Linked DNA regions of Oryzias latipes. The protein of the gene in region 1 purifies or fractionates together with the protein of each later gene. This does not show direct contact. Links are inferred from orthologs where the notes say so. Each region holds a gene or a part of one and is shown on either strand. Other genes may lie near its edges. The genes, in order: ift27 and ift57.

Region 1 (3,824 bases):
TTTTAGCCAATTTCCAAAGGAGATGTTAAAATAAAATAGTTTTTGGTAAATATTTTCTGTCGTTTCTAATATTCGTTAAAGAACATGAAGGGAAAGAGAAAAAAATCTATTAAAATTGAATTTGGTCTGCAAAAAATCTGAGATTTTATTTTTTGGCCATTTAATTTTATTATTCAATAAATGTGGTGTCTTACCTGGAACACGAAAACCTCTGCAGTGTCGGCGGATTCTTTCCAACCAACGGCCGCAGTTGACAAATGACTGCTCATTGGTCAAATCAAAAACGAGGCAAAACAGGGAAGGTTCACCCCACTGTTGTAGGAAATGAATGTCCATTAGGGCTGCACGATATGAGGAAAACCTGCGATTTGCGATATTAGTGATCAATATTTCGATGACGATATAACTTGTGATACAAGAAAGAACAGCAAAACAACTAAATACATCATTTCCATTTCACTGCAAAAGTTTAATTTAGATAAGAGTTAAAATAACTTAAATTATGCTCCAAATGACCTTTGTCTACATAGAGGTGAGCATCTTACATAAAGGGGCTCCATTTGATTGGTCAATAACTTAAAAGAGCCAATCCGATTTGTCAAATGCATGAAGGGATTTATTTGATTTGTTAAATATTTCAATCTGCCATAACATTGTTTTAGCAAGTTTAAGGTAACCATTTATTGCAATTTTCACTAACTTTTGCGATATGCGTATTGCACAGCTTGATATCACAATAACGATAAATTTGAGGATTGATAGTATCACATCGGTTTTCTCCTTTAATCGTCCTCTGGGTCAGATTTCTGGCTCTACATTTTATGTGGGTGCAGAGCTCTCCATGAAAAAAAAAACAACCATTTTATAAAGACGGTGTAGGTACCATAACCGTTTGGCCAGGAACTTGCGTTTAGGGTCCTGGGACTAATGCTGACGTCACATTATGTGATTGGCTGTGCGTTGGTCCGATGACGTGTCAGATAGTGATTGGTCTGGACAAATTAGGATACTACCATAAAAGAAAATATTATGAAGTCTGTTGCAAACAAACAGATCTCTGACATAAAGCGAGATTGTTTTTTAAAGTGCCTTTGTTATTGTTATTATTATTATTGAATGCATGTTCGCTTATAGTTTTTTCAATCCGTGCGCCCAGTGCTTTATTATTGACAGAACGGACTCGGAAGAACAACATTTAGCTGACAACATTTTTAGCCAAGCTAAAAGACAAGCGGATTGTGGCCACATCTCTTTATAAAAATTACAAAGAATATTGTCAGACACAATTTATGAGGGAAAATAACTGTAGGTTACAAAAGGGAACGTGAAAGGAAAATTTGTAGAGCCCGAGCAGATCTCGACGTTACGTAGTTTGTCCAAGTGGGGTTACCGTAGTGGGACGTTACCTTCAGTCGAAAGGACCCTGAAGAGAGGTTCCAGGCCGAACGGGTATGGTAGCTACAACGGAAAAAACCTCCAGAGAAGCAGCCTTACCAGTTTTTCACAGGCATCCACGAGGGCCTCCTTCCCTGCAGAGTCAAAGATGTAGAACTCCTGTAGAGGAAAGGAGCAAAGAAAAATGACGAGATGTGTTACAAAGAAAATTTTAGTTAAATAGTTTCCCATTTCCTTGTCTTTCTGGCAGAAGCATTTCTCTTCCTCCCTCCATGCTGCTACAAATGAGAAACTGACTTTTAGATATCAGCACCCCATCCATCCCTAAGATAAATAAAACAGAGGTGAACCAGCTGAGTGCTAAACTCATCTTAGGCAAACCAGCAGTCTGTTATTTTGTGTTAGTCCTCTGAAGTATCATACAATCTATACGACAAGTACAATGTCAAATTTTCAGCTAAATGAAAAAATAAAATGAGACAAATACATTTATTTACCGACTGCAACCACATGCTTCCGTTTCCTGTAGCTCAGTTCAGACGGGTTTTTTTGACAGATGCACTGACTGTCCGACCGGAAAACCACAGACTGAGAGCTGCTATGAAAGAAGAGGAGACCATGCTCACCACGCTGTGTGGAGTTTCTGGGATGTTGATACACTTCACCACCAGCTCCACTCCTGTTGTCTGAAAAACAGAAAAAGGGTTTTTTATATGCAGAGCTATTAGGGAAATACCTTTATTTTATCTAGAGTATTTTTTTCTTAAGAATGACGGGCAGCATTTGGACATGCCTGCATTAAGATATTATGAATGCAAGCTTTTGATTAAAAAGAAAAGGGTTTGCTAATAATTACTAGAAAGCTGGTTGTGTTCCCTGACTGTTACTTTCTTTGGTAGAAATATATATATTTTTGGTTTTAAATCAATTTGCTGCAATGCTGTGTGAGCTTCATGTGTGTTCAGTGGAGGTAAATGCATTACGTAAACAAATACCGGATGGCAAACTGTTAACTTCTAAAAGTTTTAAAAGGATTTTGGCAGCGGCATAAAATGTAATACACAACTTTGCATTAACCCAACTTTTGCCTCTTGTGCACATAGATGCACAAGAGAAGCATACTGCAGCCCCACTCCACAGCAGTCTAATGAGCTGCTGTGATGCACAGGAGGCCTCTCTGTGGAATGTCAATGAGGTTCTGTTAGCGAAAAATATCGTACAATATTGCTAACAGGCTGTCTGGCATTTTCAAAGGAGGATGTAAGCAGAATGACTTACGGAATTGGCTACCCTTCAAAACCAAAAGTGAAAAAACAGGAGCAGTGAGAGGACTTTCTTTTATCATAGTTTTACAACTGAAAAGAAAACCACAACTATTTTAATTAACAAAAACATCATTGAAAACAACAACAACAACAACATCTACATCACATAAACAAATAAAAATGTTATCAAAAGAAGTCATTTAACTTGTGTTTTTGGTGTTTTTAACATGTTTTTGTGAATTTTTTCTGATGATGGAGGACAAAAAAAAGAAAGTTAAGATTCAAATTGTATTTTTAAGTGGTTCTGCCCACAACCGGGGCAAATTTCTAATAAACTGCTGCCGTTCTGCAAGAGACTATGTCCTAGAAAACAACAGCTTTTTAAATTTTGGCTAAGAACTATATCATCATAATTAAAAGACAACTGGAAACACGTTTAAAATAGATCAAAAGATGTTTGAAAATGGGACTTGGAAACATTTAAAGCATTTTCCTTTTTTTTGCAAATGTTATGTATAGAAACATAAAACCTAAAACTAGCATCACAAAACGTGAAAGGATAAACATGCTTTTCCAGTGACAGACTAACTGCACTTACTGCATTTCTCCATGTGGTTTATTGACTTATTAAGTACATGTTAAGTACAGATCCTGCTGTAGTCATTTTCACTATTTCACTCTTTCTCTATTCCAATATATGAAAGATGTGGTGTCACAAGATTCTAGTCACGTACAAACAGCAGTTATTAACTAAAGATAGAGGTTGCTTTAAAGTAGGAAGTGTGAATGCAAGGGAATTATGAAGAGGATCACAAAACTTTATTTACATGCATAACATGAATACATTTAGAATCTACTACATAACTTAGCACCAGCCGCTCTTGCCAAAGAAGCACGTGTGAGCGTGTAACCAGATGATCTGTGTGGTGACCGTGTTAATCCCTCTGCGTAAAAGTACCTTAAGTCAGTCAGCCTGCACTGTGAGAGGTTTTAGAGAGAGCAACTTAATACCACACCAAATCATTTACCAACAAACAAAGCTTTCACTGAACTTTAAACAAGGCCTTAAACACACACACACACACACACGTCAACACTAAACCTGAACCTGCTTGGATTTTGTATTTCTAGACATGAACTATTTTCTTTATGTACGTTTCTTTG
Region 2 (4,053 bases), on another chromosome or scaffold:
TTGGGGCTGGAAGTGAGGCATTTTCTACCACAGGGGTGGGCAATTCCAGGCCTCGAGGGCCGGTGTGTCTGCATGATTTCAAGATAGCCTTTCCCTACTCATGGCTGATTACCTGGTTCAGGTGTGTCCAGCCAATAATCTTGCCCTACTCATGACTGATTACCTGGTTCAGGTGTGTCCAGCCAATTAGAACATGCCAGAGCAGGGTATGCTGGAAAACATGCAGGAATGCGGCCCTCAGTGCCCACCTCTGTTCTACCAGGTGGCTCATAGAAAGACGTCTCACTAGCTTAGTCCAGTTCTCACACACTCAATGGTCAGATCCTTCACAGAGGCTGTTCCTCTCAGAGAGGAGTCGAGCTCTTAAACCAGACCTACTGTCTGACAGGAACCAGAACTGTCATCCAAACCCGAGGAGATCTTGGAGGCGACTGTGGATGCTGCAGAGTGGAACCTGGAGGTGGAGAGAGTCATACCACACCTGAAAGTCACCATCAGGAACGACAATAAGGTTCAAACGGAGGATTTCTATCTACTAGCTGTCAGCGCTGAGGCCAGTTTTCTGCTTTAACATAACGCTCTTTCCCATCATGCCGTGGTGTGTTGCTTTTTCCGTTTTCTGCAGGACTGGAGGGTCCACCTGGAGCAGATGCATCAGTACCAAGACAAAATCGACTCCCTGTTCAAAGAGTCCAAGGTTCGTTCACAGACTGTAGAAGAACCGAGCCATACTGCTGACAAAGTCCAAAAGGTTCTGATCAGACCAGAGACCAGGACTCATGACACACCAGATCAGACCAGAGACCAGGACTCATGACACACCAGATCAGACCAGAGACCAGGACTCATGACACACCAGATCTGGCTGCACCACACTTTGGAAAACAAACCCCAGAGTCACATACAGTTCAGACTGAGATCCTTGTGTGTCCTTGGAGTAAACTAGGGCTGTAACGATTCCTTTTAATGACGATTCGATTCATCTCATCATTTGTGGTTTCTGATACGTTTCATTGTTGATATTAGTTTCTTTTGAACGATCCGATTCACCGACCTAAAATCGATCCAGGACATCTTTAGCCAAAAATGTAACCAGTGTGACTCAGAGATGAATACCTGGCTACCGAAAAGGGCAGGTGAAGTTTTTCCACATTCTGTGGATTTCTTGCAAGATAATCGAGTGTAAATTAAATATGTAAACAAACAAACAAGAAATGATGGAAAATTCATTCACGTTTTAGTTTGATAAAAATTCAGCCCACTGTTGTTTTTCCACATCACAATAACACAAACGGAACAATATTAGAGCATTCTTCCACACTGAATGGTCACATGACTTTGAGTCTTTCCACACATTGGACTGGAATGATGGGCTGATCATTTCATGCTGACATCACATGTGTGTTGTTCTGTGTTATCCTTAGTTGTTTTAACATTATAGTAAAAGAAAGCTACCATGTCTCAATCCAAACGGTATTTTCTTTAATTTTGAAAGGATTCTATAGGTCGATTTGATTTCTATTAACAATGTGCCTTAGACAGATGGATCTGGTTGGATTGTAGGAATAGGAATCGATTCATCAATGAATCGTCACACCCCTAGAATAAACATACTTATGATCTTCTCTCTGGCTGCAGAGCTACATGGACAAGCTGCAGGAAGACATCGGAAAGACTCAGGAGAAAGTGAGCAGCAGGGAGAAGTACATCAACAACCAGCTAGAGCTTCCGGTGCAGGAGTACCGCAGCGCCCAGGCCAAACTCAGCGAGGTGCACACACACACAAACACACAAATGAGACACCTCAAAGAGTTTCAGCTGCTGACCTTATGTGATCCTCAATCTGCAGGCCAAGGAACGCTACCAACAGGCCAGTGGAGGGGTGACCGAGAGAAGCAGAGTCCTGGCTGAGGTCAGTGAACGCATCACCAAGTCAAACAAGATCATTGATTAGGATAAGCAGCAAACCAAAAGATGACTAAAGCCATTAAAACTATTTAGAAGCAGTTATTTAAAATAACTTAAGATAAAATAAACACTTTGTCATCATTCAGCTGTTGCACCATTTTTAATAACTGTAATCTTAATGACATAGCTATAAAAGTCCTGTGTTTTAACTTTGTTCTTTACTACAAAATAATCAAAATTTTTATTTTGATTGTTAAAAAATGTTAAATTGGGGTACTTGTGATAAAGTTTATCTTTATCCCTATGATGTTTTATTTTGAAACATCCAGTTTTTCTTTTTTTAGTTTTTACACACATGGAAGGTTTTTCCAATTTATCTTCCATGTGCAGTAATGCCTCTTTAAAGCTGATGAGCCCTGCAGATGCATCTCTGTGAGACCGCAGGATTGTTTCTCTGCTTCAGATCAGCGAGGAGCTGGACAAGGTGAAGCAGGAGATGGAGGAGAAGGGCAGCAGCATGTCGGATGCAGGTGAAGCAGAGGCCACTGCTGTGCGTTTGTCTTCTGTGTCTCTGCTTGCTGTGAGTCTGACCCGGGTACTTTGTGTGTGTGTGTGTGTGTGTGTGTGTGTGTGCTCCTTAGCTCCGGTGGTAAAGATCAACCAGAGTCTGACGAAGCTGAAGCAGGAGATCGTGCAGATTGACTTGAGGATCGGCGTGGTGGAGCACACCCTGCTGCAGGCCAAACTCAAGGAGAAGTCCAACATGACGCGCGACATGCACGCCACCAACATCCCTGAGCCCACTGCAGGGCCCTTCGCTTAGCAGCACTCACGGACCGGGTCAAACCGGAGCCAGTTCTGATCTGAAACAAAATGGTCGTTCTTTCAAATCAGTTACAAATGAAACATTTATTGAAATTTCAAACATTTATTTTTTTACTACCTTTAATAAACAAATAAACACACCTGAACTGCAAAAGTCTAAATCATCTGGACCCAGAAAATGTTTACATTAATTGGAGCCAAATGAACACTAGAGGTCACTGTTACTGCACTGAAATCCAAATTCGTTGAACCTTTACTTTGAAATTTTTGAAAAAACATGTACATAAACTGTAGTTTTTGTCAGAAATGACAAACATATTTAAGAAGCAGGAAAATAAATCATCGAGAAGTACAAAGAGCTGCTTTAGTGTTCTAGTAAAATGTCGAAAGAAATCCCAGTTAGTTATTTAGCAAGTTATACCAACACTTGTCAGGGCACTATTCCTGAGCCCTTATCCTGCCTTTAAAATAAACAAGGATTTTAATTTTTTTATTTTTTGCTTAGGATAGAAAATATGTTGAGACTTGCTACTGTTCAATAAATCCACTTAAATATTTCTAACTTAAACTTGGTAAGTTTGGCTTTCAATGTTCTCTGCTTTTTAACGCATGGAATAAATTTACTTTGGAGAGTCAAACCGGAAGCAGCATGTTTTTTTGTTTTTGTTTGACAGCAGCTGTTTGTTCCTTATGCGCAGGCGGGGCGTCGTCACACTGTCGGGTTTTCTAAACCATGTAATTATTTAAAAAAAATACTACAAAAGAACAGAAAAACTAAACGAAACGGAAAAAGCAAGAGATTGGCGGCTACAGGAAGATTTTCCTCCACACTTCCGCTTAGTAATCCAGAAGAAAAGCATCGGTGAGTTCATTCTTTGTTTCTGTTTTGCTGAAACTGCCCATCGAAAACTCAAAATGAGATAAATAACTCCGCAAAAGCCTTCCGCTTGACTTTAAGCTTGTTTAAAAGAAAAGTGAAATCAAAATTATATTTCAATAAACACGTTTTAAAGGTGATTAAATGATACAAAACAACCGTGTCCCTTATATTTTATAGCTTACAGAAATGTTGTGTTTATTATTTTCGTGCCTTTTTCCATACTTTATACCCTTTGCACACAGGTTTTTATGAGATATTTTAAAAACAACGTCATGGATAAATGCCGGAATTTAACTAAAAATAGTATAAAAACGTTAACTTGTCATATAAAACACAAATGGAACGCTTAGATTCATTCATTGACTAATTCAAGTGAAATAAGTCTAATAACGAGAGTTAAAACAAACTAAATATTTATAACCTAAATCTGAAAATTAATT

What was found.
Region 2: the proteins of ift27 (region 1) and ift57 purify together in Homo sapiens (co-immunoprecipitation; 3 studies listed by BioGRID and IntAct, with this or other methods). This does not show direct contact. The link is inferred for Oryzias latipes from reciprocal best matches to the Homo sapiens genes IFT27 and IFT57.

The regions. Positions count from the first base shown.
Region 1 is NC_019859.2:24,935,363-24,939,186, reverse strand, and holds part of ift27 (intraflagellar transport protein 27 homolog), read right to left. Parts: intron 2,082-3,824; coding exon 2,022-2,081; intron 1,555-2,021; coding exon 1,495-1,554; intron 313-1,494; coding exon 195-312; intron 1-194. UniProt on the Homo sapiens protein: Small GTPase-like component of the intraflagellar transport (IFT) complex B that promotes the exit of the BBSome complex from cilia via its interaction with ARL6. Not involved in entry of the BBSome complex into cilium. Prevents aggregation of GTP-free ARL6.
Region 2 is NC_019875.2:10,097,708-10,101,760, reverse strand, and holds the end of ift57 (intraflagellar transport protein 57 homolog), read left to right. Parts: intron 1-388; coding exon 389-511; intron 512-625; coding exon 626-697; intron 698-1,638; coding exon 1,639-1,770; intron 1,771-1,849; coding exon 1,850-1,912; intron 1,913-2,371; coding exon 2,372-2,438; intron 2,439-2,549; coding exon 2,550-2,731; 3' UTR 2,732-3,369; downstream 3,370-4,053. UniProt on the Homo sapiens protein: Required for the formation of cilia. Plays an indirect role in sonic hedgehog signaling, cilia being required for all activity of the hedgehog pathway.